Linked DNA regions of Medicago truncatula. The protein of the gene in region 3 interacts with the protein of the main gene of each other region in a pairwise test. Links are inferred from orthologs where the notes say so. Each region holds a gene or a part of one and is shown on either strand. Other genes may lie near its edges.

What was found.
Region 1: the proteins of protein BOLA2 (region 3) and monothiol glutaredoxin-S15, mitochondrial interact in a two-hybrid assay, tested with the Arabidopsis thaliana proteins (2 studies listed by BioGRID). The link is inferred for Medicago truncatula from reciprocal best matches to the Arabidopsis thaliana genes AT5G09830 and GRX4.
Region 2: the proteins of protein BOLA2 (region 3) and monothiol glutaredoxin-S17 interact in a two-hybrid assay, tested with the Arabidopsis thaliana proteins (2 studies listed by BioGRID). The link is inferred for Medicago truncatula from reciprocal best matches to the Arabidopsis thaliana genes AT5G09830 and GRXS17.

The regions. Positions count from the first base shown.
Region 1 is NC_053043.1:50,695,204-50,706,092, forward strand, and holds monothiol glutaredoxin-S15, mitochondrial, read right to left. Parts: upstream 4,936-10,889; 5' UTR 4,841-4,935; coding exon 4,790-4,840; intron 3,545-4,789; coding exon 3,413-3,544; intron 3,316-3,412; coding exon 3,216-3,315; intron 2,292-3,215; coding exon 2,225-2,291; intron 907-2,224; coding exon 828-906; intron 748-827; coding exon 700-747; 3' UTR 427-699; downstream 1-426. Other genes in the region: lys-63-specific deubiquitinase BRCC36, read left to right, coding at 7,533-7,643, 7,769-7,894, 8,514-8,601, 9,847-9,932, 10,022-10,237, 10,614-10,795.
Region 2 is NC_053045.1:43,446,918-43,458,031, forward strand, and holds monothiol glutaredoxin-S17, read right to left. Parts: upstream 4,428-11,114; 5' UTR 4,383-4,427; coding exon 4,212-4,382; intron 4,123-4,211; coding exon 4,048-4,122; intron 2,438-4,047; coding exon 1,208-2,437; 3' UTR 1,027-1,207; downstream 1-1,026. Other genes in the region: heat stress transcription factor B-2a, read left to right, coding at 1-226; stress-related protein, read right to left, coding at 7,903-8,310; endonuclease MutS2, read right to left, coding at 8,877-9,191, 10,165-10,629, 11,083-11,114. UniProt on the Arabidopsis thaliana protein: May only reduce GSH-thiol disulfides, but not protein disulfides. Participates probably to the maturation of iron-sulfur proteins and to the regulation of the redox state of the BOLA proteins.
Region 3 is NC_053049.1:42,947,021-42,957,589, forward strand, and holds protein BOLA2, read right to left. Parts: upstream 3,813-10,569; 5' UTR 3,707-3,812; coding exon 3,644-3,706; intron 2,725-3,643; coding exon 2,702-2,724; intron 2,596-2,701; coding exon 2,400-2,595; 3' UTR 2,054-2,399; downstream 1-2,053. Other genes in the region: fibrillin protein 5 homolog, read right to left, coding at 385-507, 735-850, 961-1,213. UniProt on the Arabidopsis thaliana protein: May act either alone or in interaction with glutaredoxin as a redox-regulated transcriptional regulator, or as a factor regulating Fe-S cluster biogenesis. The GRXS17-BOLA2 heterodimer binds a labile, oxygen sensitive iron-sulfur cluster.

The DNA.
Region 1 (10,889 bases), on a different chromosome or scaffold from region 3:
CAACGCTTATTAACATTTAAGAACAGTCCTTAAGTTTTCAAACATTAGCGATGGTCGAGCTGGCATCCACATCTCATGATAGTTCCCACGATGGGACAGTGCTTAATAGAATTGTTGTACTTCATAGTATAAGTTAAGAACCAAAACATGGTTCCAACATTGGAGTGAAAATCAATCAGTGTTCTTAAATCTCATGTCGCAGTTGCGGACACACAGAAAGCAACTTAAAAACATGAATTTGGTTGTTCCAACATTGGAGATGCTCCAACAGGACATTGGGGTGGATCCTGCATGGCATGGCTTGGCTATGTAAGTTGTGCACGCGGCAGGTATGAAGGGAATGTGAGTAATGGACAAAAGGGGAGAGGCAGACATGAATTGGGTATTGTTTTGCAGTGCTGCATTTTTAATACAATATCTGTGCTCTAGTCACATTATTCTAAATCAAGGTGTATAAAATTTCGGTCTTGACTGTCATTTCAGGTACAACAAATAAACAATAAAGCAAGGTATGCGCACACATGAAATTCTTATACCTAACAATTTTTTATTCGTCAAATAACTTAACTTATTACTATCCAGAAAATCTAATACAAAGACATCACATAGTGTCATCTTTCAGCAAAAGAAACAGATTGCATCGAACAAGTCGGTCTAAACTACCTCTCTCTTTTAAATCCCATCACCTTAGTTGTGCTTTTACTGCTTGGACACAACATCTTTAAGCTTTTCCTTCAACTCACCACTCTACAAGGATGTGAAATATTGTTAAACAGGAGAGCACTAAATATTGTAAAAATTGATCAACTCTTGCAATGGGAACTAACCTGGTGCATACTAAGAACAATATCTGATCCACCAATAAACTCTCCCTTAATGAAAACTTGTGGAAATGTTGGCCAGTGACTGCAGTGAAAGAACATGGGAGAAACATAAGAAATGTATATTTGCCTAATATGTAAATTATTAAGCTATTAAAAGGGAAAAGTAAATTATATTTGGCAGCACCAGCACTTCTCGTACTACCATATTTGAAAATCAAATAATATAAGACAACACTGTGACACAACCATACCACTTTAAATGCAAAGAAAATAAAAGATATTCAAAATAATTTTATATAAGTTGTCATATGCATGTACATATATCAATAGCATACAAGGATATACTACCTCCGTCCCTATATATAAGACCCTTTTGCCAAAATCACGGGAATTAAGATAGTGTATATTTGTATTAAAGTTGTTTGTAAACACTATTGTTTTTACAAATTTATCTTTTAAGAAAGAGAGTTAGTTTATGTTTTCAAGATACTATATATTGTTGATTGAAGAAAAAGATGTATAATAAATAGAGGGCCAAATACCTTCCCGGGTCCTTTAAATTTCATGTTTTTTTCAGATAGATCCTTTAAGTTTCTAAGGTTTCAGATAAGTCCTTTAAGTTTTTAAGGTTTCAGATATGTCTTTAAGTTTCTAGTTTGTTTCAGATAGGTCCTTTCTATCAACCTCCGTTAAGCCAAAGTTGATTTGATAGAAAAGACCTATTTGAAACAAACTCGAAACTTAAAGGACCTATCTGAAACTTTAGAAACTTAAAGGACATATCCGAAACAAACTCGAAACATAAAGGACCTATCTGAAACAAATGTGAAACTTAAAGGACCTAGGGAGGTATTTGGCCTAAATAAAGGCATGTATGTAAAGAAATAATTAATGTAATTGGAAATAGCAAATGAGTCTTATAAAAAGGGACAAAAAATTTTCTCAAAAGGGTCTTATCATTAGGGACGGAGGTAGTAATAAATAACAAATTAATAACCCGCAACTAGATATGTTGAAATCAACCGTAAAAAGTTTTCTGTCCAAATATAAAACTGTAACTTCACACAGTACTTGATCTTCAAACTGATGTTTATGATCTTCAGATTATTGACATGACACTCGTCCATTGAATTCCATAGCCATTAAAGGGTATCAAAATTCTAACACAATTGATATTCGTAAATGGAAGATTTCAACGTTTAGACAGCAGTCATAGCACAACGATTACTTACAAGTTTTCAGATTTATAATCATAATAATCTGATTTTCATTAATATATTTGGATTTAAACAATGCAGTTGGAAATTAATATTTTTATGTTTCATATCACATATCACTAATACTAGTTGTAAGAGCATTACAAGAAGCTAGAGTAATATAACCAGCATGAACAAACTTACCTGAAGGCTTTTACAGCATCTTTCACTTCAGGATCCTGCAAAATGTTCCTAGCACTTAAAGGAACATCTGCAAAAGCAACAAATATGAAAAATTGCAACATATAAAATCGTCCATTCATCATCCAGTAAAGCTAAGTCATATTCACAGTAAATTTCTGTAGGCTATAAGTAAATTAAACAATTGGAAGAACACATTTGAAACTTAAAGGCCGCATCCTATATAAGTTCGCGCAGGTTATGATATAGATCATTATAATTAAATTGCAGGCCAGCCACCTATGTACTAACCCTTTAAAATTGTTTTAGTTTCCTTTTCCGTTGAAGAGGATAAAATCAAAAGGCAAGGGTGACATTTTTATCCATTCAACATAATTAAACCAAAACATGAAATTACAGAAACACAGTAGCTACCATGACATCAGCTACAACAACAAGAACAACAACAACAACCAAGCCTTATCCCACTAAGTGGGGTCGGCTACATGAATTAAACAACGCCATAGTGTTCTATCAAAAACCATGTTTTTCTCCAACTCATTTATCTCTAGATCCTTCTTAATAGTTTCTCATATAGTTTTTCTAGGTCTACCCCTACCTCTAGTGATCTGACTCCCCTCCATCTCATCTATACTCCTTATTACAGAATCCACAAGTCTTCTCTCTACATGCCGAAACCACCTATGTCTAGTTTCTACCATCTTTTCTACTATAGGGGTTACCCCCAACTCTATCTAACGTCGTTATTTCTAATTCTCCCCATCTAGTCAATAAACCCATCAGCTACATTCAACAAATTAATCACCATAATGTTTGTAGAAATGTAAGTAACACTATCTCCTCCACTCTGAGTCTACACTTTCAAATCACATAAGCACAAAATTTCAGAATACATGAAAATGTAACAGCTCTACCATGAAAAAACTAGTTCAGATTCAGAGGATATAATTTCTCAGGTAGCAAGGATGAAGCATGAAAATTATCATTTACTTACCATATTGTTTTAAAACTTTAACTGCAAGAGAACTAAATCCACACTGTGGGAAATCAGGTACACCCTTCATGTAAATCATAACAGGATTATCCTTGACATCCTGTACATTATTAACAAGTCACAAATTACTTATACCATCAAAACAATAAACCCTTCATAGAATTCTCATGTACAGATTCAACTGATATAAAATTCACCTGCTCAATAATACTTGACAAAGAAGTTCCAGAATTCTCAACTTTATTAGTTGGTTTGAAGTCATCGTGTGTGTCGGTATCATTAGACACCTTAGTTGTGTATCTCATTCCATAATAACTGGAACTAGTTAGCTGCAAACATGTTAAAAGAAAACCAACACCATTACATACAGAAAACACAATTCACATTTTAACGAACAAACAAACTCTAGCCATTTAAATCATAACACTAAAATAGTTAAAATCATAAAGAGTGACAATGCAAAACTCCAAAAGTTAATCTTAGGGCCTGTTTGAATTGACTGATTTGAGCTTATCTACAGACATAATCACTTGAGACTGTCTGGGGGAACATGTGAAAACAGCTTATGACATGTTCATAACCTGTTTTCAGCTTATTTCCACAAGATCTCCAGGATAACTTATGAAGACAGCTTATGGCTTGTACAAAAACAGTTTGACTTTATTTTATCTTTTGCTACGGAAATAGCTTACATTAAGTGCTTATATATGATAAGTGCCTATGCTATAAGCTGCAAATTAAGCTGTTTACCCAACCATTGCCTTAGTAGAACATGAATGAGATAATAGTAAATTTAAAAAGAAAAAGGGCTAAAATTCAGTGGCAATATTTACTTTTTGAGGAACCAAATGTGAGTGGCAATTTATGTATGTATGTTCGGTTTCATTTTTTAGAGGAGCCAAAATTGATTCTAAAGGTGTTGAATTAATTTTGACATGTTTGGTTGCCCTCCAGGAAAATTGATTTTGCCTCTAGAAGAATTGATTCTAACTTGAAGCTAAAATTTGGAGCTTTTGATTCTAAAATTGATTTTAACACTCAAATTTATTGTTCAACTCACTTTTACATAAACATATCCAAACATAAATCACTTTACATTTAACTCACTTATAGCCATGATCAAACTTACATAATTATAGCTTATAAAAACAATTTATAGCTTATACAAAAACAGTTTAACTTTATTTTATATTTTGTTATGGAAATAACTTATAATATGCGCTTATGCTAAAAGCTGTAAATTAACCCGTTCATCCAAACAGGGTCTAAAAAGGCTTTTCAAGATTTCATGATTTGAAAAGTAATAGCTTATTGATCTCATACGATAGCAAAACAATTTCAGGATTCAAATTCAAACTAGAATTATTGAACGACCCATTTCAATCTGATAAATAAAAATTGCAAGGTGAGAAATTATAAGAGGAAAATGAAGAAAACAAAGGATACCCATTACCGAAAAATGGAAAAAGCATGGAACTTTATGATTATAAACAGGTAAAAGGTAAAAAAAGAAACGAAGTTGCAGAAAAAAGAAGAAGAAAATTAGGGTTTGATTTTAGGAATGGAAAGCTTACACGTGTAGTGAGAGAACGAGCAGCGATTCCCTTGAAAAGAATGGTTGCCATGGAAGCACTTCTGATGTGAGGAATGTTTCACAACGCAGACAACTTCGAACTAAGGTGTTTATATCTCTCTCTTCTGGTTTAGGGTATAAAAGGTATTTCCTCTATTTTTGTTTGTTAGAGAAACAATATTACTTTTTAGGATTAACATTGACACATTTAAGATGTGGTGCGAAAGACATTTTTATTTTATGATGAATGTATTTTTTACTATCTCAATATTGGTTTGGATCAACACTTATCGCGTCTCTTTGCTCATTGGATACCCCTCCGAAAGGTAGACTCAAACTCGATATTGATGGTAGCTTTCTAGAAGATTTTGATTGTTTAGGTGATGGTGGCGTTGTTCGCAACCACGATGGAGATTAGGTAGCTGGTTTTTCTCACTATGAAGTTGTATGTGATACGTTATTAGCAGAGTTATGTGTTATTCAGATATGTCTTGATTTTTGTAGTAAAAAAGGCTATGTCAACATTATTTGTGAGAGTGATTGTTTGGAAGCAGATGACTCAATTATTGATGGTCGTGATCATACCTTGCACACTTATGCTACTAACATCCTTCATATTAGAGATGTTTTACATGAAAATGAAAATACAACATTGGTGCATGTTCTTAGGGAACAAAATATGTGTGCAGATTTTATGGTTAAGGAAGGATCACATGCAAGTTGCTCTGTTCGCTGGAACTATCCTCCGTCTGGTATGAAATCTCTAATCCTGAGAGATAAGCTTGAAACTTAATTTCGACTCTCCCTTTTTCTTCTTTTTCTTTTTGTCTCGTTACATTGTAGCATATGTTTAAGAACGAGGTGATTGAGAACTCCCCTTCTTATTTCTAACTAGCTCATAAGATCATCTCTGTAAATCTTTGAAACCAAGATTTTTCCTAGAACTTAAGTGGTAAGTTGATTTGATGATAGAGATGAACATGATTTTCTCTTTGTTGAATAGTGCATTGCAATTGAAAGCTCTCAATAAGGTAGGATATAATAATCATTATCTTATATGTACCATATCAGTCGAACACTTACTATCAAGGAACTCCTTAATGTTCCATCCAAAATTATCCAAACTATCAAAATTGTATACCTTTCCCCGAGCAATAACTCTAATTAACCAATTTTTTTGAGTTAATATGTGAGGTGAACCGTGAGATCAAATATAATTTCTTTAAATTTACACTATTAAAACAAAAAGGTATAAATGAGTCACTTTAAGATATCGTGGCTAAACAACACCAAATACAAATTTTTTGACGAAGATTGAAGTAAAAGAAAATGTTTTTTCCAAACAAGTAAAAGAGAATATTTATTTATTTATTTTCTATAAACTAAAGGTATATATATATAATGAAAACTAAATGGATATTTATTTACATAAAATAAAATTCTCTCTCTTTTTCCTTTTCTCTCTTGTGAGCCGTTACCAATTGTGAGCCGTCACCAAAACTTTAATTTTTTCTCTTTCATCCATCAAAGATGGGTGACTTAGAGTCAATTTTTGACCCAAAATCACTTATCTAACTCGTTTTTATCTTTCTCTTTTATCGAAATAAGTGATTTTCACATCTATTTTTTTTTTTTTTAATTTTGTCATCTTAGTGCGACGTTTGTTTGTTCGTCGTCTTCGTACGGCGTTGTTTGTCTTATTTGTTTCGTTCAGATATTTGTTCGATTTAGATTGTCACACATCAGATTTGATCTAGGGGCAAATCTAATGACTTTGGTCGTTCACGTTGCAGATTCAGAGACATTGGTATTCCGGAGACTTGAATATAGTCATATGTGTGGACTTTTGTACTTTGCCGTTTTAAGCTATTAACATGGATGCTATGAGTTTGTTCGCAGATTCATCCCTTTTGTTTTTAGCGAATTTGCAATGTATCAATGTATTCTATCAATTTGAATCAATAAATATCATTTATTTTTGTCTAAAAAATATATATTTATTTACATGGCAAAACCATCGATTTTTTTTATCAAATAGTTTAATGATTTTAAATTTATCTCTTAATGTGTTTTGTTAGTCAAGTAGTTTAAGGACTATAAATTTATCTCTTAACATAAATGAGAGGAGTGTCAGGTTCAAATCTCATTATCTACATAGTTAAAAATATACTCCCTCCGTCCTAAATTATAAATAAAAAATAAACTCATTTTCTTTGTCCCAAATTATAAGGAAAAAGAGCAACTTTTATTATTTAATTATGTTTTTTGAAAAAAATTATCTTTTCTAAAGGAAAATTAAATGCAAAGTGCATTCAATTTGCTATCTTTTTCATTTTCTCTATAATCAACTATCAATGAAAATTGTTTTTACATCTTCATATAAAATTTATTTTAAAAATAACACAAATAAACTATGTTACAAACTATTATGTTTTAGTTTTTTTTTTCTTATAACATGGACCGGAGCGAATATTTTTTTGTTGGTGAAAATTTACACGCCAAGAGTTAAATTTTAACTGGATATGTTTAATTAGTCAGATTAGGGTAAAGATTAATAGCTAGATAGAAAGAGATTAACAGTAATTACGTTGTTCTATTGACTAGACAGTTGAGGTTGAAGAAGGAGGTGAGAGAGAGAGAGAGAGAGGGAAACATCAAAGAAAAAGAACGTAATCGAAGAGAATGAGATTATTATCATCATAGGGTTTTTAGGGTTTTTGATTTTGAACCAATTTTTGGCGAAAATGTCTCTAACAAGCGTGAAAATGTCCGAAGAAGTTTGGTTAACATGCGCAACTCATGCATTCTCCACTGAAACCGAAGAGATTATGGGTCTTCTTCTTGGCGATATCCAGGTATAGTATAATAATCCCCAAATTCTTCTTGATTATTTTTTCAAATTTTTGATTTTTATTTTGATTTTTCCCCAATTTGTGTCTCACAATGTTAAATTGAATTTGTGAAATTGTTGATTTTTCAGCATTCGAAAAATGGGAGTGTGACTGCATTGATATGGGGTGCATCTCCTCAAACAAGGTCTGATAGACGAAAAGATCGTGTTGAAACTAACCCTGAACAGTTGGCTGCTGCTTCAGCTCTTGCTGATATATCCTTTCTCTTGTTGTGTGTTATTGCATTTAAGATAGATCTAAAAAACTCATTTTTAAATTCAATACTGTTTATTTTGACCTCACATGTCACCTATGAAGCAGAGACACGGGGGCACGACACTGGCATGTTGACACAAGTAGTAATTTGAGAAAAATGACATGATTGAATGTAATCACACCTGCGGTGTTAGACACGTGTTGGACGCCGCACATATTTCACTTAGAAATGTCGTGCTGCAGAGCATATCACTTAGGCCCTGTTTGGATAAACAACTTGATTTGCAATTTATAGATGATAAGTGCTTATGTATAAGCTATTTTTATTACAAAAGATAAAATATAGTCTTAATTTGAAATTTATAGATGATAATCTATTTTCATAAGCTATCTTTGAGAGCATATGAAAATAAGCTGAAAACAACTTATGAACATTTCATAAACGTTCTCACAACTGCTTAAGCCGGTAGGTAAACTGAAATAAGCCAATCCAAACAGGCCCATGTGTTTAATGCATTGGTTTAGCTTGACAATGCTGTCCAATTTTGATAATTTGCTGTTCTTAGTGATTTAAGGACTACAATTGTTGCTTTGATTGTGTCTTTAACTTCATAGCACAAAATGACTGTTACAACTGGAAGAACAACGAGGGTGATAGGCTGGTACCATTCACATCCTCATATTACTGTCCTGCCTTCACATGTCGGTATGTACTTTCGGGTAAACCGTTTCCCATTGTTTCGATATTATCTTCTGCTTATCACTGAATGTATCATTGTTTTAGTTGTTTGTGCTTGGATTGGAGAACTGAATCCTAATGTGTTGCATTTATGAAATCGAAGATGTTATATAGTATTTTTTTTCTCAGAGAGAATATTGCTAGCCTAGATTTGAGAAAGGAGTGCGCTTCTATCATCCTTTATGTTATACAGTTCCTAGATGTTGAAGTCAACAGTATTTTTATGTATGGTGATATTCTAAATTTTGCACTTTGAGTTGTGTTCCAACTTCAACATCAATTGAAGGTTAGTATGTGTGACTGAGCATATGAATCAAATATGTTGCTGTAGAGGATCAATGATAGATACTAGATGAAAATAGTTTTTATCGATAGCAAATTCCATTACATTCAATGTATTCAAGCATCCAGGTTATCTCCCACTCTAAAACCCTATCCAAAACCAAAGTAAATCTGTCGAGCACGTCCTACCTATTATTTATAGTCTATTATCTCATACTCTCTAACTAACTCCCAGACAAAGAGGGTTTCCCATCATTTGGCTGATGCAAATGTTATTTTCCATGAGAAATTATAAGAAGACTGCACATTTTTCTCTATTGCCTGTATTGTTTCATTGAAACAGACAAAATATCGATGTCTGTTACTGATAGTATGATGCTTAATAGTTACATGCAGTTACTTATTCACATGCACCTCAGACACTTCTCCACAAATCACTGAATAATACCCTGCGTTCTAGTGTAACCTTTCTGAATGGTTCAACTTGAGCACATGCCGTACATGGCATGTACAACTATCATTTTCCTATATCTGCTATTTATACTCCACTTTTGGTATTTAAGGTAGGATATAACATTTTCTGATGTAAGACATAGAAAATGTATGGGTTTACAATAGCATATAAGTTTTGATTGTGTTTGAACAATAAATTAGCTAGAGAGTTCTATGAATTAGGTTGAAAGGCTTTCTAGCAGGCTTTAGATTTAATTTAACAGTACTCACTATTCATATACGTATTCTAAACTTCTAATGACATCTCTCCTTCCTCAAAAGTTTGTGATCTGTTTGCATACATTTAACAGCATGCTTGTTATCGCATTGGATAGGATTGCAACAAAGATTTTTTTTAAATGACTTGTCTTTTTTCCTTTTTGGTTTTATCCAAAGCAACAGTATAATCATTTAATCAGCATCTTTACTATTTTGTAGATGTGCGGACTCAGGCAATGTATCAACTTCTTGATTCTGGGTTTATTGGGTTGATTTTTTCTTGTTACAACGAAGATGCAAACAAGGTTGGTCTGAAACACATGATAATTGTTAGATGTCTTGCAGTATTTATTCTCATCAAGTTTAACAACAAATAGCTTTGAACTGTATTCAGATAGGAAAAATTCAAGTAATTGCTTTCCAGTCATCTGATGGAAAGCAGAATAGCATGTCAAGACCCATACCTCTGTCTCCTGTAAATAAAAGCTCCATTATTCATATAGATTCATCACCAAGTTCCTCAGAGAATTTAACAACAAGATCTGGTTACTTCAAGGGAGATAGCCCAGAGCAGGACACTGGTGATTCGAGAAGTGCTGGTGCTAGTAAGGTATGCTTTATCTTATATGAAATAAGATTTAACACCCCGTGTGTTGAATTTTGTGGTTGAAGAATAGACAACAATTTGAAAAATGTAGATTACATTTGAATTCAGAACATGGTGGGACTTGAATGTTTATTTCCAATCTATATTTTTGTGATTGAAGTTCTTAAAGATCAGGGAAATTCTTTCCTGTTATACTGGGTTTTGTATACATCCTTTTGTTGATACAGTGATGTTGATCTTATGGAAATGCGTTCAGTCCCTAAAGGATGTCCCACCAGTATAATCATAGTTGCATTTTTCTGTCTAGGAGAAAGATAATTCGTTTTATGTGTGTGTTTTTAATTTATGTAATCAAAATTTAAATTGTAATTTTTCCTAGGGTGGGGGGAGATCTTCAGAATTGGGGAATTTCTTCGCTAATGCTGATGCCAACTATCTAGGGAGTGTAAAAGATGGAGAAAACTATCATCTCAACAATTCAGACATCATCGCAGTTGATGATCCCATGGATATGTCAGAAAGTATGCAGGAAGCTATGCACCGCTCAAATTTGGACATGAGGTACAGAATATAGATGAGTATGTATTTGAACACTTTGTTGTTTATCAACTGACAATTTAGGCGTGTTTTTTGGATTTGGATTCATCTTGTCCCC
Region 2 (11,114 bases), on a different chromosome or scaffold from region 3:
ATACCTCAAGTCTTGTTCAGAGGAAAATGCAATGACTAATAATTCATCAGTTGAAGAAGACAATAACAATCATGAACTACTCATGGAGGAGAACAAGAACCTAAAGAAGGAGAGATTAGAGTTGCAAATGCAAATAGCTGAATGCAAGGCACTTGAAATGAAGTTGTTGGAGTGTCTCTCTCAGTATATGGATAACCGCCAAAATAAAGTTAGGAGACTATGTTAATTCATATTACTATTTATCATATCACATCAAGTTATTAAAATAGAGAAGTAAAATGTACATGTTTGTCATCATTGAATAATAATAAAAATGCACGTATGTTTTACCTTTCTTGGTTTGGTCAAAATCTGAATAGGGATAAATATTGGTAAGATTCATGATTGATTATCATAATTTAAACAACATTGACCATCAACAACAACCTTTCTAAGCTTCTTAAAAAAAAAAAAAAAAAACCTTTTTAAAAGAGGTCAATGTGTAGTTTAATCGAGTTTGAATTTTGTTGTCAATGTGAGAACCTCGATGATTGATAATATATAAATATTTATTATTGCTCTATCAAAACCTTGAAGCTTTTCCTGACCCTAGTAAGCTTCTGAGACACAAATTGCCTGAACTTTTCGTTTATTAAAAACAACCTATCTAAATTTTTGAAAGGGTAAATACAATTTCACTAAAAAAAATAAATAAATTGTAGAGCTATTTAACAAATTGTTCAAAGCTTTGAGAATAAATGCACGATCACAATTACGCTTTGAAATTTCAGCACAAGAAAATCAGAGCATCTGTTTGAAAAATGAAATGAGGTTTTGTAATCTACATGGAAGATGGGGTTCCAAAGGCTACATTTTGTAATCTGATAATAGAATTAGCACGGTTCTTACACTATATTTGGAATTCACGTTCAGTATTTCATATTTACCACAAAGTCAGGAATCTAGCATTTCAATTTCCCCCCAGGTTGACAAACTATGGTACTCAACTCATGAATCAGTTTAGCCAGCTATATAGAGAAGCAGAAGGGGAAAACAAGTTCAGACTTTTAATAAAATAAAATAGCCTCATATCAAACAATATATAGAGTAACCACGCAGAACATTACAATGTCAAAAACAAAGCCTCATGGCACCAAAATTAACAACACCCTCAGCTATAGTGGCTTATAAGATACAATCCCAATTATTCTAAGAATTAACAATAATCCTACTCAGATAAAGTTGACTTCAGCTCTCCATTATTTCGCAGCTCCATAATGATATCGCAACCGCCTATCAGCTCACCTTTGTAGTAAAGCTGAGGAAAAGTAGGCCAGTTTGAGAATACCTTAATTCCCTGTCTTACCTCATCATCACTCAATATATCAAAGTGACCAAAATCCACCACACCCTCCTCTCGGAGGGCATTTACAACTCTGGAACTAAAACCACATCTTGGAGCATCAGGGGTACCCTTCATGAAGAGCATCACAGGGGAAGAGGCAATCAATTTCTTCAAACGATCTTCAATGGTCTCTTTTGGAAGAACCCCTTTCTCATGTAAAGTTTTCTGAAGTTCCCCACTTTTTTGCATCTCCAACACAATGTCTGATCCACCAATAAGCTCCCCCTTGATATATAGTTGAGGATAACTGGACCAGTTTGAATAAACCTTGAGTCCTTGACGGACTTCTTCATCAGTAAGAATGTCAAAACTCTCAAACGGAACATTTTCTTGTCGGAGAATTTCAACTACCTTCCTGCTGAAACCACACTTAGGTTCATCTGGTTTTCCCTTCATAAACAGCATAACTGAGCCTGAATTGACCAAGCCATCCAGCCGAGAGGCTAAATTTGTACTCAAATCCGTAGATTTAGAGATGCCACCCTTGGTGTTTCCTGAATCTGTTATATTTGTTTCATCAACGGTATCAATTCCGTGATCTTTGAAAACATCCTTTAACTCCCCACTCTCATGCATAGCAATTGCTATGTCACACCCACCAACAAGTTCTCCTTTGCAGTAAAGCTGAGGAAATGTGGGCCAATTGGAAAACTTCTTCAAGCCCTCACGAACCTCTGAATCCGAGAGGATATCAAAACTTCCAAACTTAACCTTCTCTTCCTTCAAAATATCAACAACTTTTCTGCTAAATCCACATTTTGGCTCTTCAGGACTCCCTTTCATGAAAAGCAGGACAGGATGAGAGTCAACGAGCTCCTGCAATCGCTTTTTCAGATGACTACTAAGCCCTGGTTGAACTTTACTTTTTTCGTTTGAAGATAAATTGTCTTGCGCTAATTCTTTCACTGTTTCAAGAACGGCGGATCCTGCGGCCATCCCAAGACTAGCAGGAGAAGCGGCATCTCCAGAGTTAATTGAGCCTGCTACTTTTGAAACCTTGTTGGCTAAACTTGATGGATCAGCTCCCTCCAATGTGTCAACGGTCTTGCCATCCTGACAGATAATAACTACTAATCAACTGATAAATCAAACAAAGATAACAAATTGAGTTTTCAATCCCATATTCACAGTATGAATATCACCAGAGCATTATGATTGCAATATAAAAAAAGATAACTCTTTTGGGTACATGGCGAAATTTGTATTGTAAATAAATAATAATATCAAAACCAAGTCTTAATTAAAAATCTGCAAAAGCAAAGATAAATAATAGTATCAAAACCAAGTCTTAATTAAAAATCTGCAAAAGCAAAGATACACAACAAATAGCTCTGATAAGTTAGAAATTCAATTTCATCTAATGTTAACATGCAATTGTTCGTCACTGAAGGGTTACACTCTTGGTACGGTAACCAAGACAGAAAGTCAGTGTGGATAAATTTCCCAGCGAATACTTGTGGACTAATAAATATTAAAAACAATATACGGAAACTATAAGACTTTTCAAACAATAGCTTTTATATAAGTTCAAAATATAAGTATTATTTGTAGGTGAGGAGGCATGTTCAAGGTGACAGTCCTCCCCCTAATCACATGTAATTTAACCAACAAAAACAAAACACCAACCAGACACAGCACAAACAAATCTATATTCCATTGTTTAATTGGATTATCACTACAACAGAACCATAGTCATCGACTCATTGACGGTATAACATTAAAATGAACCTAATAAGCAGAGTTGGCAAGAAAATATGAAATGAACATGAGAAGAAAGCAAAGTACTGCATTTTCCTGACCAAGAAGCCAGGGAGGCCTCAGAACCACAACCACTGAAATATTGAAATAAACTTGTTTAAATTGGATTATTTTAGCTTATCTAGTAACATAAGCACATGTGAGCCTATCTGGGAGAGCTTACGGAAACGGTTTATGACATGTCCATAAACTAAGGGCACTTTAAGAAGCTAAAAATGGAAATAAGTGATAAATTCAAGGTAAAAAAAGTCAATTTCTAGAGTTTAGAGGTATTAAATGCACTATTTCCAAGATAAAGTTTCTTTTTTGGACTTCTTATCAAGTGCCCTTGTTAGCATTTCCCTTTTTTATTTTCTTTATTGAAAACTCAATATTGGCCCATGGACTTGGTGTCCATAAGCTATCTTTAGCTTACTTTCATAAGCTCTTTAGGATAGTGTATGAAAACAACTTATAGCTTATACGACATCAGTTTGACAGTATTTAACCCTGTCATAAAAGATATCTGGCCCATGGACTTGGTGTCCATAAGCTATTTTTAGCTTACTTTCATAAGCTCTTTAGGATAGTGTATGAAAACAACTTATAGCTTATACGACATCAGTTTGACAGTATTTAACCCTGTCATAAAATTAGCTTATACATAAACACATATATCATAAGCGCAATTAAATTGTATTAGCTTATACATAAACACATATATCATAAGCGCAATTAAGTTGTTTATTCAAATAGGGTCTAATCCACTCTGCCACAAAACAGCAACAGCAAGAACAACAACAGCATATAGTGCAACTTAAACAAAGCCGAAAAACCAATTACCTAACAATGAACAAAGTTTTGGCCAAAAACAATACTATAGAATTCTCAGATAAAAAAGAGTTTTCAAATTGCAGTTACTTTACCTTGAAGAAGACAAAAAAAGGAACAGCAGAGACAGAATAAGCCTCAGATATCTCTGGTTGTTCTTCAGCTTCAACCTAAAAAAAGTAAAAAATTGATTTTGATTGATAAATATAAAGCAAGAAGATGAAAAATAAAAAGGGATAATTGGGAAAGAAAACCGAACCCTTAAGAAATGGGTATGAGGGAAATCAATGGCCAAATGAGAGAAGAGTTGGTCCATGTGTTTGGAAGCTTCACACCATGACGCCCAGAAGTGAAGCACCGCCGGAGAACCGCCGCGAACCACCTCATCCAACTCCGACTTTGACTTCACGTCTCGCACCGAACCACCCATTCTCTCTCTCGATGATGATGTTGATCGATCACTTTTACAAACCCTAATTCTCTTTATATAAGTAAAAGGCTTAAATATGTTTATCCTTCCAATTGAGCTCGTTTAAAAATTGGTCATGTATTGCTAATCATTACAAACTGGTCTTGCAATCATTAATCATTTAAAATTTTGTCTTTGACCAACTTAATCACTGTCACGTCACTAATTCGAAGACGTGGCAAACACTACCACACATTAAATTCCAATTTTACCCTTAAGAAGCGGACAAAATATTGAAGAAAGAATTGAAAATCCAGGGGTAAAATTGGAATTTCATGTATGGCAGTGATTGCCACGTCATCAAATTAATGACATGGCAGTGATTAAGTGGGGAGAGATACGAAATTTTAAATGATTAAACAATGCAAGGGTAAATTGTTAGAATTAACGATTACAAGGATTAATTTTTAAACGACCCCTAATTGCAATGATAAAATACATATTTAAGCCTAACCAAAATAAAAGCTTTAACCTTTAATTTTTCCTCTAAAAAAAATTATTATTTTTTCCAAAGCTATATATGCATATTCAATATTTTTTGAGGCAATATATTTTTTTAGTAAAGATTATTTTTTTTTTTTTGAGGGATAGTAAAGAATCTTACGTCCACAAATTCTAAGCTAATATGGCAAAAATAAATATAAAAAATGTTAGGTCAAGCATTGTGATTGGGGTTTAAATTCCGACTTCTCCATTTATGTTTGTTTATAATAGTTATTGTCATTTTGTATTGAGAGTATAATTATGTCGGTATAGATACTACATTATAAATTGATGCAGTGGTTGAAGTTTGAACCCTTAAACTCTCCACTTATGCATTTTATAATGAAATTTTAGTCATTAAGTTACTGAAGAAAAAAAAAGATTATGAAAAAAAGTTAAAAAAATTCTTGAATTTTTTTTAAAACATTAAACTATACTTGATACAAAATTTATAAGATTATCTTTTTATATTTGAATTCTTAACTGAAGAAACTCGTGTGATAACAGTCAGTCATTCGTTATTTTTAGTCTTTATATGATATTTTTGAGTTCACAAGCAAGATTAAGCAACAAGAAAAACTGAAGAAGGGGATCGTGTCACGATTACTGAAAAACGTGTCATGATTTGGAGCTTTCAAAAATGCATTCAACGATGGCAAAAACGTGTCACGATGGCAAAAACGTGACACGATTAAGGAAACCCTAATTTGGGTGGTTTGTTACACAAGATGAAACGTGTCACGATTTACTTAAATTGTGCCACGATTTTAGGAGCAGTTCTTGCCTATTTAAGCTGAAGACTATTCTGAAAACAATGGTTACGGTTTGGAGAGAGCAAAGTGCGATTTTGAGACTACAAGACGGTTAGAAGGGCGATTTATTCACTCTTTTACTAGTTCATGTATGTATTGATCCCTCTAATGATTATGTTATTTGTAAACACCATTATGAGTAGCTAAATTCATTAGAGGTTATGTCTGAGATGATTCTTTGTAACCCTGATTGAAACATGTTGATGTGAAACTCTATTTATTGTGAATGATAATCTAGTTTTTATTCAATTCAATTGTTCTTAATGCTTTTTATATCCTGATTAAATATAAACATGATTTAGTAAGAACGAATGACTACTGACCCTAGCTTTCGAATTAGACCTAATTGAATTGTTCTAATAAACATCGTTAGTCTAGGAATGGATAATCCTTTATTAGTGATATTAGGTTAACGTGCTTAAACCTTGAACGGTTATTAGACCACCTAAGGAATTAGGGGCTGTAACCCTAGAAGAGGGTCCTAACTCAAGGGATTGATTATGACTATTTTGTTAACTATCGTGGAACGGACTATTTTGTTAACTAACGTGGAACTAGTGAATCATTCATAAGAATAGGTGTAGTATACCAATTAGGGGAATATAGATGATTCGAAAGACCTAAACTCATCTCTCTCTTAATCTTAAAACCAATCTTTATTTTCTGTCATTACTTTTATGCAAACAAACCAATCAACTGCCTAGGGCAAACAAAATAATTTATACATCCTAAATATTCACTTTATTGCTAAATTGAGATTAACACAGTCCTCGTGGATACGAATTTATTTTATTACTTGGATACATTTTTAGTACACTTGCTAAAATATCTATCAAGTTTTTGGCGCCGCTGCCGGGAACTGTTGAGTCATTTCAATTTGGCAATTTTGTTTTTATTTAAGATTTCTGTCATTTATATTTTTAGAGTCAATCTTTTTATATTTGAATTCTTAACATGTGCATAAGGATACATTTTTTTATCGGAGAAAAGACATGTGTCTTTCTATCCGTTTTTCTGTTGCGTTTAGTTGTATATAGATCAAAAACTTATGTAAAAAAAAAAAATAGTGTCAATGAGAAATATCATTTCCCAACATTCTCCCTTATGCCTATATAAGGAGAGCCCCCTTACAATTTAAAGTAAGTTTATTCCATCGTTCAAACCTTTCAACCTCTTTGTTTCCCATTGACTTAGGCATCAGGGCGCTTGTGCAAGTACAACGCCCTCTGTCTCATCGACAATGTGGCATTTCCATTGATTCTGCAAGATCTTCGAGAACGAAGCACGTTCTTCCACATATCCGTGGTCAATGTGAGATTCTTTATCTTCCTGAAGATAATCTTGTTACTTAACATAATAGCTTTTAAATAGTTTAAATGAAAGATAAAGTTAAAATGAAAATGTCAACTCACAATCATGTATCTTATTTATATATAAGTAATTGTAGATAAAATTGGATATTCATTTTAAACTAATTTTAGGTTAGAGAGAGGGAGTGATAGAGATGGAGATAAAAAGAGAGGAAATCTAACAAAGGAATAAAAAAAAAGAAAATATAGTTTATTCTGAATAGGATCAAACATTTTTTTTTTTTATGGGCATTCAATCAAATTAAGATGATGTATAAAAATTAAAATTAAAATTAAAATGTTAAGGAGTGTTTTTAAAACATTGGTTAAGTAGATGAAAATAGAAATATTGTATTGGAAAATGGTGAAAAGTGATGAATTTGACTTTTTAAAAGTTAAAACATATTTTTTTATCGAAATTAACGATTTCATTATGTCACAAAGATGAATTTTTTACAAGGTTTTATTTATTTATTTATTTATTTTTGTTAGGTAGTACAGTGACTAGAATTCACTTTTTTTTAAGGTGAATAAGTGGGGTATCCGGGATTCGAACCCGAAGGTTTTATTTATTTTCCATCCCAACTATCAGGATTTCTCCAAAAAGGAAAAATTACAAACACACATGAAACGAAAAACACAGGACAATGTTTTTCTGTTACAATAATTTTTATTTATTTATGAACAAAGGATATCTGTATTTACAATGCAGCCAGTAACTAATTACTAGCAAAGAATATTTAAAAAATAAAGGTAGAAAGAGATTGATTAGTTCATGCTTCAAATTTCACTAAACACCTTAGCTATCCTCTCAGTATGCACCAAAGGCAGGTACGCTTAGGCCTTACGTTCCTTCTCTACGGCACCAATAACCGCTGCATTGTACTTCTCCTTGCAATACACGGCCTTTGGCGCAACTGCATTGTCCACTCGATGGAACATCGGAGACTGTTTCACCTTCTGCCATGCCGAAGCCACAGTCTGCTCTGCCACGGGCTCGCACTTGGAGTAAAGCCTCACCGCTGTTTCCGAGACAGTGGCTACGTTGGCAACGGGAGCCCTGTGTCCGGTGCAGTGGTGGTTTTGATTGGTACCGGTGTGGCGGAGGATCTCATCGGGAACAAGGTGGAACTTATCATGGACAGGCCCCACCACGCTCTTGACAGTTTCTTCAACGGTCTTGATGCCCGGCTTGAGCTCATTGGAGCACTCCTTGGCGTATCCGTAGACGGCGTTGAACCTCATGAGGAATTATTAGTTGTTCTTCCTTGTTCTTTTCACCCTGCAAAAAAGAGAAGAAAAGAAAGTAATTGAAATAATAAAGGAGATCAAAGAAATTGAATGGGTATATATATGAGGAAAGAGGAGAACAAACGTACCGGAGGTGATTGTGAATGAGAGAATCTGATGTATCATATTTTTAGAAGAGTAATAGTGGGAATCTGATTTGGGTTATTAATAGGAAGGGTGAAGCTAATGAGTAGGCAAAAACAACGGCCCTATTCTCTGTTATGATCTCTCTCTAAGCTAAAAGTTTGGCAAATGCGTAAAAAATGTTCCATAAAAAGTATCAACAAAACAAAGGACAAATGAAACGCAAACTACAATTTAGAGTAAAATTCAAAAAATTAAAACTGCTAAATTTAACAAACTTTCATGTAATTATACCACCAAATGTGTTTACGTATGTATATACATCCAAAATTAGTCACTTGGTTGGTCCTGTAAAGAATAAGCAAGCAGAAAAACACCCTCGCCAAAAGCAGGTCCAAGCTGCTGTTGCCTTATTGAAATTGGGGACGAGGGTTCTCTCACTTAACACGTGCAATGGTACAGCCATAATTCATTGGACTTTCTGGTTCAAAATGAGTGACACGAGGATGCTTTTGCAGAATAGCAAGCGCACGATCTTTAACAGCCCCAGTCCCCATCCCATGTATTACAAAGAGAACCGAATATGGCTGACTTGCGTTGATTGCCATCTCAAGATGGATTGCAGCTTCTTCCAGTCGCATACCTCGTAGATCCACAGTATTCTTAGATGTTTGCACCACTGGACCATAATAACTATCATCATTGCCGCCGTTCATCTCTAAGTTACCCCGGGATTTTCCATTCAGTGGTTTCTACAATAGTAAATCAACAGTGTACAAACTCAGCAGTTTGATATAGATCAATAACTGTCATCCTTCAATTCATTAGCGTACAGAAAATTCTACAATAACATTGTCTATGCGGACAAAAAAAATGTCAACAGAAATAATGCCAGGGTCTGAAATTAGTTTCTAAGTTATAAGCAAAATGCGCAAACATTCAAAGACAAAACAGATGGGCAGGTGCGAATTTTTTGTCTAAATCAAATTAGGTTAAGAAGCCTATTTTAAAAAGGAGACAGATTAATTTTATAGAAAATTCAATTCAACGTGCTTATATTATAGGATGATCCGAGGTTCCAATTTCCAAACATGATGTTTGGAACCTGGTATTTATTACAGAAAAACAGGAGAAAGCTACCCAAATTACATGATAGAACAATGAGGATCTACAACTCCACATGCCCCAATTCTTACTAAAATAACAAATACTCTCCCTCTCAACCCCTCTAGCTATTTACATTCCCCCTCCGCTATTGGATATATACAAAAAAAATCTAAGTTTGGGGCTCCAAAATATATCAATTCTAAATTAATTTTACCATAGCTTCAAAAAAATGCCAGATTAAATATAAAATACTTTTCAAGTAATTTGGATTTCATTTTCCAATAACTTCTTTTATTTATATGAAACAAGTTTCCACGAAGAATATTTTAGATAATACAATTATATTTTTTATTACACAAAAAAGTTAAATGTGATTTTATTATAGTATTCTCAACTACCGCGTACTACTTTTTTTTCTTCTTATATTTGAAGCTAGAGGGAGTAACCTTCCTCTCTAACTGTCTTATCCCAATCGTTCCCAACTCACTCAATAAGATTACTGCTTGCAAAATAACTTTCTTAATGGAAAAGTATACCACTCAGTTTTCTTCATTGACAGGTTAACTATATCGATTGATTAGATTATTTATATGACAGCAAAGATTTCTTTCTACATACCTGCCTTCCCTGATGAGTGGCAGAACTAGTTACAGGATTCTTTGCACTTGGTGGAATAGCTCTGATGCGATTTTTCTTCACACGTACTTTCACTTTACCATACTGTACCAAGATTGTTTCATCATCCCCAAGCAATTCTACCACTGTGGCTAATTTTCCTCCCAATCCCTTCACACGGACTTGCTCTCCAAATTGTGGAGTATAGGATGTAGTGCGATCGGCGTCATTGATGGGAAAACCAACAGCAGGAGTATGAGCTTTTACAATGGAGGCAATCGCAGTTTCAGATTCTTTAATTATTGAATTAAGTTGGTTGCGTCCCAAATCTTTTAGTTGCTTTTCGAATTTCTGTATTACAATTTCCATTTGAGATTTTGCATCCTCTAACTCTTGTTGGACCTGTTGAGCTTCCTTTGCCATAAGCATCGTTTCACGTCTATCAAGGTCTTCTGCCTCCCCTTGGATCTTTGCAAAAGAAGAAAAAGAAAAAAGTGAGAGAGACAGAGAGAGGGCCAATAAAGTGCAAAGCATTGAGCAACAGCAAATATGATGACATCCGATTACAGACTGCAGGCAAATGCTCTACAATTCTTACGCTGAACCATTTTTCCCACAAATGACGGCATTATGAAAATTTTGGATGGAAGAGGCACTACATATTTAAATTAACAGCTGTTGGCTATCCCCAAGGATTGGACATCTATTAATGAGGCACAGCATGATGTGTTGGTCAAAAGAAGTTCACAACGTCCATCACACTTTGATTTTCTGGTCAATTTACTGAGTCCTTACTTATGAACGATGCAAATTTCAGATAAACTTTAAAAGGGACAATAATGATTGTCATACTATATGGACCAAGGAGAGGAAACTTAAAGAAACAAAGTATCTCTTTCTAACCGAACAGCTAGATTGTACCTCAGAGTACACGTTCATAATTTCTGCATGAA
Region 3 (10,569 bases):
TGCATGTGCTAAAAGACTCAAACGTTAACAATGTAGGCATAATTGACATGTAGTTCACTTTCTGCAGTAGTTTTATCGGGTCTAATTTGGGATCTTTTGGTTTTATGGATTCACAAACTCGTGACTACGTGCAATTAGCCGCATCTAGATTGTCCGATCAAAATCAAACGATCTAAATTTCAAGCTTAGTATTTTAGATTTTAAGAGCAAAGACGGATTAAGTAATTTTGACACAAAAATACGAAATTTATGATTGGAAACTATGCTTAGTTTTGTGCCTTCTGAAGTTTAATGTTATCATTATCAAATAAAATCAGTAAATCAAAAGTCAAAAGAAAAAGGGTCATATATCATATAAAATTGAGAAGTGCATTGTATTTGTACCTTGGTTTTATCAATAATCTGAAAGAAATCACCCAATGCGATAAAGTCTCTTAGGCCTAACTTTGTCCTTCTTGATCCCAAAATTGAGATAGTGCTATAAACAAGCCTCCAACACCCATCCACCTTCCAGTAATAGAAACATAACATGATTATGAAAGTTTGTGTATGACAATTAATATAGTTTAAAAAAATGTGATTTAGGCCTCGACATCAACTTTTTTATGTCTTTGCGGCCATAACACAGCCTCTTATGACACCACATCAACCACATTTAACTCGAACTCTCCATAATATCAAGAATCGCGGCATGACTGTACCGTGTCGATTTTAAAACCTTGACATGAAGTTACCTTCTCTAGTTCTAGTGTTGGTTCTGGAGTTGGATTTTGAGATTCTAGCTGCTTCACCAAAGTTTCAATTTCTAACTTCTTGCCGGATGGAATTCCAAATATCCCTCTGTTGATTCCTTCAAACACATTTGTTTACCCATTTCAAACAAATTACTCTTTCCACTTTGTTAACTAGTGTTAACAATAGCTCAGAATAACAAATAATAAGAATAATTGAAGATGCTACCTTCCAGAGCCTGGTAAAGCTCTCTTTTCTTCTGTCCAAGTGCTTCATCTTCAACTAAGCCATAGCCAGAAGATTGTTCTGCAACTTTAATGATAGTAATGGGTCTAAACCATAATGGCTTCTCACCAAATCTTGAAGTCTTTATCCATGAACGATTACTAACCGGTCCAAATCTTTGAAGTTTCATGATGTTCATGGTTCTACAAACCAGAGGAGAATCATTCATTGATGGATGCACTAGCTTAGTTATCATAATAACATTCAAGCTTAAATACAGAATAATGAAACAGGGTAGAGGATCATGGTGGTGACACCTCGCACGTTGTTCTTTCAAGTTTTCTGATAAAAGGGTGACTCAAAATTTTGATGACAGTGGAACTGTGTACATATTTGTTGTCTTTATTTGATTTTTTCTAATCAAGGTTTTTGGATAGGTCTTATCGAGACATGTGGTTAAAATTCATAGAATATATGAGGTCCATGAGATAGACACTGTACGTGTTGGTCTCTTACTTATTGACCTCAAAAGCCAAATGTTCCTATAGTATGCACAAATTGAGTACAATAAAAATAGTTGACGGCACTTGAAGTGGTTTCAACCATTCCTTCTATTCAGCGTACAAAAGTAATGACACGGTCATAAGATTTATGAATCAATTGTTTTCACAAGTGACGAGGAGGACTATAAAGCTTCTTAGTTCAGATGTGAAGAAAACAGTAGATTTTTAAGGCACCATTGAATCTTGTGTGTGGTGAGAAAAGGACACAATTGTCAGTGTAAAAGATGTGTGCATATTTGGACCTCTGGTAAATTTGACAAAATCACGGTGTGCTACCGTAACTTTAGCTAATATACACTTTGAAGGTTCAGCAAAACCACAATGCCTTCAGTTTACCAACTCACTGTCATGATATATCAGGACATAGCGAAAATCACCTAAAGGTTGAAACATAATACTCATCAATAACGCCATCCAAATGAACTAGCAAGGTTAAAAATTCAGACTGAAAACAAAACCCTCAGAAGAAAAATGAAAAGGACACCCACATATTCAAGTCAACAAGTTAAGTCCACATGAAGAATGAACTTGGAAAGAATTAAAATTTAGGAAAAATAGAAATTGATTGATCCATTCGGATTCAGACATGCAAGAAACCTTCATAAGTCATGCATTCTTAGCTTTTTACTTTGCCTTCATTTCTTCCAACTTTCATCTCTATTGAGCATGCTTACATGTATTCTAGTAAGCAATACCCAAGAAAGTATAAAAAGAACAATCATCATAAAATTACCCTACTGAAAGTCAGGGACTTTGTCAACTAAAATTTAGCAGTGCAACATAAAATTTGAGTGGCAGCAAATAATACATAGAACTATGATCCACAAATACTGCCAGCAATATATTGTAAGGGTTTTTTATTTATAAATATTATATGCTCTAGGCCGCAGGATTTGATTGGTTGGACTCTTGCTGTTTTTTCCACTGCTCTGGAGTTACAGCTTTCTTTACAGAGAGTGCATGAATCTCTTTCATTTCCTCCTCTAAGGCAGCATTCACCATTCGATGCCTTTCCAATAGCCTTTTTCCTTCAAATTGTTCTGAAACAATCTCAACTGCAAAACTTGAACCACACCTAATAATACCAACATGGAATTATAAGATTGTAAGATATAAGCGACAAGTATACGGTGGTAGAAAAAAGCTGATAAAAAATGTGTTGGATGGAAAACAAAACTTACCCGCCAGATATATCAGTTACTTCCTGAAACAAAAACAAACATAAGAAATTCAAAAGGAAAAGGAGAAGGTCATTGTCAAATACAAATGGAAGGTTCACATTTTCAAGTTGGTGCAGTAGTATAGTTTGTTCCTCATAACTCATGAACTCATATAAACTGTAAAACTGATAAATTGAAGGTTGATCATTTTCCCTTTCATAGGATGAAGTTCCATTTTTAACATATTTCACTAAGGATACTCTACACTGCATGTAATGTCGAGTCAAAAGTAAAGAGGAATCAGAGGATGTGCATTTTCAATGTACATGTATTTTGAAGCTGATTGTGTGATGTGGAAAAATGGTGGTCTCTCATTGGATGTCAGTGTAAAATTGTGGGCTGCCAGTGTGTAACCATTAAACTCAGGTAAAAATACTGATCATGTTAATAATCAGACCAGAGCAGTGTGAAAACTTCAAGAGTCAGACACTAATTTTACAGTCTCTTGATCAAAAGAAATTCCAAAATTGTAATATAGACTCCAGATAGCCATAGCTAACAACTATTAGGGTCCTTGAACTTGCATGAATATTGAATAAAATTACAACAACTTTCCTAAAAGTGTCTTTCGCTAGTCAATTCGGTCCTCGTTAGTTTGGTCATTGAATGTATTTTTCGTTAATTAGGCTGTCCATGAAACTACTAACCGAAACACACTAAATAATGTTTTTGAAGTTTCGATACATTTGGGAACAATTAGGGATTTTTTTGGATCTCCAATGCTAAGAGGCATGAAGCATGACAAAGGAATTGCACATTCCAATATAATAATTAGGGCTAAGGATGGAAAATAATAATATATACAAAATAAAATAAAAATGGTGTGTTGAAATTAAGCCATGTTTATTAGTGAAACGAGCGTAAATCAAAGGAAAGGAACGAAACTGGAAAAGAGAAACTTACAAGATGGGAAGGGTTGAGTTTGGAGTTCAAAGATGATTCGACTTGTTCCTTTGTCACACCCATTTCTATTTCTCTCTTGTGAGGTTTGCCCTTTCTGCTGTTCTTCAATTTCTCGTGTAAACCCTTTTGTGAAAGATATTCGCTTCTTAACTTGCCGTTGCTCACACGCGGATAGATAAAAGAAAAATAAGGCTTAATATATCATTTTCCTTAACTTATTTTCTTTTTTCATTTTAGTCTCGTAACAATTAAACGTCTCAATTTGATCCTATAAATCTTATGCAGTTTATTATTTTGATCATCTCCATTAGTTTTTAGTTTAAGCTGAATCATATTAAAGGTGGTCCATCATAGACTTTATAAATTCATTTAATTTAAACCCTTTAATATTTTTTTAAAAAGAGAACCGTTAGATTATATAGGTCTGTTGTATCTTACGGTGAACCATCAACACATAATTTTTTTCTTATTTCTACTTCTTCTTCCTTCATCACATTCATACTTTCTTGGTCAATCTTAATATAACCCAGAAAAAAATAACAACCACAACACATAATATCATCGTCAAAATCAAACACAGAAAACAAACAACAACCCTTCAAATTCAGAATCAAACCCAGAAAACAAACAACAACAACCCTTCTTAGAGAAACAAAACCAAATCATTCACATCAAAACTGTCAAATTCTGATTCAGTTCTTCTGCATTCGGATTCAATTCATTCACATCAAAATGAAATCATAATGAAAATGAGAGAAAGAGAGTAAGTGTTGTTGTATTGCCTATGGGTTTGTGATTTTAGTTCTTCTGCATCTGGGTTTTGTATAAAAATAATTTCAATAACTCAGCTTCAAACGCAATCCCATTCCGTATAAAGAAAACAAAAATAACCAACAGTTAAATCTATAAAATCCCTATAAATCTCATCGCACAAGAAAGGAGGTAGCGAGCCTTTAATTTCACCGTTTATATTAGGAAGAAGTGATGTTGTATAAACTGTGGAAGAAAGAAATGAATATATGTCTCAAATTGGAGAAGATTAATTTAATGGTAGAAGAAATGAATCACGAAGAAGTGAATCTATGGATTGCTGTGTTTTATTTTTAGTTTTTTTATTTTATTATTATTAATGGGATCTAACTAAAATTGAGATTTTAGTGAATAACGAAGAATCAATCAATTCTTATTTTTTATGTTTTTGTTTGTTCAATTTTTTTGGGTTTATATGAACTTAATAATTAAGATGACGAAGATCAAGAGGAGTAAGAGGGAAGGAGAAGAAGAAGAAGAAAAGGAAAAAAAAAATCAGATGTTGGTAGTTCACTATTATATACAATGGATCTGCAATCGGATGGTTGAAGTCATATCAACATTATTAGACATTAAAAAATTAACGGAGATGATTAAAATAGGTAACAGCGTAATATATAGAGGTCCAAATTGAGACGTTTAATAGTTAGGGAACCAAAATGAAAAACGAAAATAAGTTAAGGGATCAACTGATGTATTAAGCCGAAAAATAATTATCCTATTTTGTTATTCACTTCTTTTCATCATTTTTTTTAACATGAGTTTATTTTATTTTAACTAATATTTTTTAAAGAATTGTATTTTTTTTTTAGAAATTTGAATGTAAATAAGTAGGGTATATGCGATTTAAACCATGTCCCTTTTTTTTTTTTTTTTGGTCAGGTAGCCTAGTGCCTAGAAATTCACTTTTAAAGTGAATAAGTGGGGTGTCTGGGGTTCGAACCCCGGCCCCTGCATATAATAATGCATTGTCCCTGCCAACTGAGTTATGCTCACGGGGACAACCATGTCCCTTTCTATTGCAATATATTGTCACTATCAATTAAGTTAATTTTTTTAAAAGAATTGTTTTCTTCAAAAAAAAAAAGTTACACGCTACTGATCTAAAACTTATTTGCGCACACAATTAATATCATTTCACATAGAATTTTATGGAGATGGTTTTTTTATAAGAAAAAAAAATTACGAAATTAAATGAGACAAACTATTACATCTTACATCATCTTCTGGTAGAAGTTTCAAAGTCGAACGAAAAACATTGCAAACATAAATATAATTAAAATACAATGAAGAATGTATGAGATTTGTCAACAGATCAACACATTGTTTAGCCTCGCAATGCACTTGACAAACTGAAGTTCTCCATATAGGACGGTGGATAAGAGAGATCACCTCATGGAGAAGAGAATTTTGAGATGAACCTGAAGTAACCATATTAACCATGATCATAGAATCCATTTCAAAAATGGTGTTTCTAATATTCAATTGACTCGTCATATCTATTCCAGTGTATTTAAAGGCCCCAAAAGTTATGCCCACGAGGCAGATAAAGTGACAATTATGTTGTCGAAACCACGTATATTCCTACCATGTCAATATCTAATCAAACCTCCACGACTAGATATTCATGTTGACTTTTTATGATATTCACCAATATTAAACTTATAATGATCGTCTGGTAGAGATGACCAAAAGACCTTGACATTGTGTCTCGATGGATGAGAATGAAATTAGACATTAGAATTTAGAATTGATAGAGAAAATAGTGAAATTAGCATAGTTGGTTATTTGACATAGAACTTGGTTACCAATCAAAGATTTCCCATTGAACATTAGGCTATTTCTATCTTTCCAAAGCTCATAAACGTCAACTCCAAAGAACATTTGGCGATTGTTATGTATTGTGTCAATATTAAGAGTTTTGATATTCTAGTCGAGCCATTGAAACAATCCAAGACTAAAGAAATTGCTCCAAACATATTGAGAAACTAGACCATTCCACAACATGTTTGCTTCTACGCAATCTCTTAAGACATATATAATTGTCTCTTGATAGTCACCATATATAATACAAAGATTGTCTCTAGTCATACTTATATGATACCTTTCATCATTAGTTAGAATTTTACCATGAAAGATATTAAGGTTTGTTGAGAAGAAGTGATGTTTACCATGTATGATAGAATACGGTGATTTGAGAGAGAAATCTCCATCTCTGGTAAGGTTTCTTCAAAGAAAGACAGATTTTTCATTAAAGGGAGGCTTGATAACTGTAATTTTCTCATAAATTTATTGAGGAAGAAGTTGATTGAGCAATTCCCAGTTCCATCGGCCATCAAAAACATAATGAGAGACAGAAAACTCCATATGGACAACGGAAAAACCATTGGAGGCGATATTTTGCAAAGGGCCATAATCTCAAATCCAAACATATTTTCAAAACCAAACACGATGACCATTCTTAATATACCTAGTTATGTTTCTAGAGACATCCTTCTAAACACTAACAATAACCCTCCAAGTAAAAGTAGAAATAGATGAATTATTATTTACTGTCGAAAATCTAAGATCATCGCAAGAGTATTTAGCACTATCATGACCCAAAATTTATATGGACAAATAATTAAATGTCAAATCAATTTCATTATATAAATCAAATTCAATCATTGAATTTTTCTTAAACCGCCCCCTCATGTGGGAGGCGAACTTGTTCTCATGATGAGATGTGTTGCAACAAAAAATCTGCAATAATGTGAAGAGTTATCAAAAAATGAAAAACATTGATTAAAAGATGAATCACTAATTTTCATTTTCTATTTTTTCCACTTCCATTTAAAAAAAAAATAAAAAAAATACTTGGCACGCTTACAAATCCCAAAATTCGAAAACTTTAAACCTCTAACAACCGCGTAACAAACTCACACGATTACAAAATCTCTCTAACAGTTTCACTCCCCCGCGCGCGCGTATATAAGTACTTCACTCTGCATTTCATCCTCGTTCCATTCATTTTCCCTCTCTCAGAATTGAAATCAAATCTTCAATCACTGCTTCTTCTACTTTTTCTCAAACAACCATGGAAAGCTCTTCAACCTTTTCTTCTCTTCGATTCTCGATGCTCTTCGCAATCTTCTTCACCGTCATGCTTTCCGGTGACAAGGTCACCGCCACTGAAGGTTTCGAACCTTCAATCCCACCGCTACCTCCACATGATCTTCAAGAACATTCGTTCTTCTCTCACACCACATTACTTCCACCGATCTTGTCTCATCTCGGATTTCACGAGCTTGCAACCGCCGCTCCGTCGCTCTCCGATGCCGCAACCACCGCTTCCTCTGCTTGGACCGGTCCTTCTACCATTTTCGCTCCCTCCGATGCTTCGCTTCGCACTTGCTTTTCTTGCTCTGTTCCGAATCTCCTCCGTGAACACATCGTTCCAGGTTTATTCACTATCGAGTATTTGCGTACGCTTCCTTTTGGCACCAAGATCGAGACGCTCAGTCCAGGCCGTTGCATAACCGTCACTTCCGATTCGATTCATTCGAACATTACTACCGGCGGTGCTCCAAAAGTTTTCATCGGAGGCGTTGAGATTGCTCAACCGGATCTATTCAACAACGGAATGGTTGTTGTTCACGGCCTTCAAGGTTTCGTCTCTACACTTTCTCCGTTTTCTTGTGACGTTGAGAGAATGACTTCACTCTCCTTTCCGTTTCATCCTGATCACCGTTCCAGTGCTCACGTTCACACTCACGGCGTCACCGTGCTCCCTGCTATAATGCGCCTCATGCTACGAGATGCAATGCTCAGGCTCCGTAATAACGGTTTCAGCATCCTCTCCCTTGCGATGAAGGTAAAATACGCAGAGCTCATAACTCTCAACAACATGACTATTTTCGCCGTTGATGATCTTTCTATATTCTCCGGTTCTCAATCGTACATCAGCAATGTGCGATTCCATATCATACCGAATTATTACTTGTCGATCGCCGATCTTGAGAAGCTTCCAGTTGGAACTGCTCTGCCTACATTGGAGCGAGGTCAGCCGCTTCTGATCACTACTTCCGGCGGAGGAGTGACATCAGCGCCGATGAGGATTAACTATGTGAGAGTTAAGGTTGCTGACGTCATCCGCAATGTGAAGATAGTTGTGCACAGTGTGTATTTGCCTTTTCCGCATATCAATCCTATTGCGGCTGCTTATGATACTATATTAGGAGGTGAAGGAGCGTCGGAAGGAGCAGGTGTTGGAGCCGGAGCATCAACTTTATTAGATTCTCCAGGTCAGGCGACGGAAGAAACCTGCTCTGCTCTTGATGGACGTGGTGGTTGTGCTGCTGGTGTCACTACTACAGCAGGTGTGTCTCCCATGCCTCAGGTCAAGCCAATGGTTGAGATTGAAGATCACCATGGCCTGTGAGTGCGATGCTTCGATGATGATGAAGATTGCGGTTTAGTTCTTTCTCTGCTGAAGTGAATCTCTATGAAATTTGTAGTTAATAAGTTTACAGTTACACTGTTGTTCATGTACTAAAGTGAAACTCTGAATTTGTAGTTAACTCGCATTGTTGTTTAGTTTGTGGCTTTGTGCTGCGCTTCTTTCTCCGTTGAAGTGAAACTTTGAATTTGTAGTTAATTCACATTGTTATCAAAGGCTTTGTGGCTTTGTTGTTTTATTAGTTCTTTAATAAACCGTTTGTTGATTTAGTCTTTACAGTTTTCTTGAGATTATCTTGGTGTTTCCATGCATGGTTTCTGCTTTGGTGTCAACTATAATGAGAGCACATTGTCATTCTTGTTGGGTTTAATTAAATGATTTAGTAACTGGTCCAATTGAACAATCCATTTGAAATTTATTTACAACAGTGAAATAAAATTATCAGAGGAAGTCATGGTTGTTGGATCAAAGAAAGGTACCTAATAAACATCTTAAAGCACTTACAGAAATAGAGAGAGTAAAGAGAAAGTGAGAGGGAAAGAGATGGATTGGTTAATGTTTTCGCCTCATGCTGACAAAATTCAGAAATTAGGCAACATTTGCGATAAAGATGATTTTGAGCTATGGCGTACGCTATATCAAAGTCTCACTGCTGGAATTTTCATATCTCTTTCGGCATGAGATCCACATGCTGGAATTGACATGTTGACCATGACCACTACTCGTCTACACCATGATTCTGATGAAGCAGGAGACATGCGCCGACTCATTGCATGAGTTAAGGCTTGAACAGCACTGGCTGGGCAATTAGAATGTTCTAGAGACATGGATTTAATCGCATATGAATCCCACGGATTGATTGACAGAAGTGAAAGAGCACAAGTAAAAAAATCTTGTTTAAAATGTAATGAAATCTTCTACACCTGCAATAGTTAAAAAAATTCAGCACAAAAAATGTGGCAATAGATGTGAAATAACCTGGATTGATACTCTTGGTTGCAAGGACTTTGGATGTAAAATGGACATTGAAATCAACAGAAAGCATAGTGACAGTACTTGTTGTGCATGTTTTGCCAGGCTAAATATGTAGCAGTCTTTGAATTAGCAAATGGACTCATCTGTTGCTTTCCATCTGCAGAACCGAAATATATTAGAAGACAGAAGAGAATAGTAAAATTTGCATAATCGCGAAATGAATGACTTGCAATTAACTATAACAAAACAACCAAAAGTGGATCTTCTTTGGTCTAACTTTTGACTAACAACAAAATGTCAAGTTGTATTTTTACTAAATCAGGTTTTAAAGATGGCATACTCGTAAAAATCTAGTTAGTAAAGACTTCGGCTTAGGAACATCATAATCACACTCAAGTCCAAACAATCATGATAATTATTTGTATCATGCTGTAATTCTTTAAAAACTTAATTAGTCTCTTAAACGTGCCTATAACTCTATCCAGTATCCATCATTCCATCCCACAACTCTAATAGCAACATCCCTTCTGACAATAATAAATTATCAAAATTAATAACTAAAACATAGACTAAATAACATGACTATTACTTTGCATGGTTCTTATGAAATTGTCACAGCTAGAACTCTTGAACACGCTTAACTTATTCATGTTACAGAAGATTAAGCCTCTTTACCATCAAAACGTGTGACAGTTAAAAATCC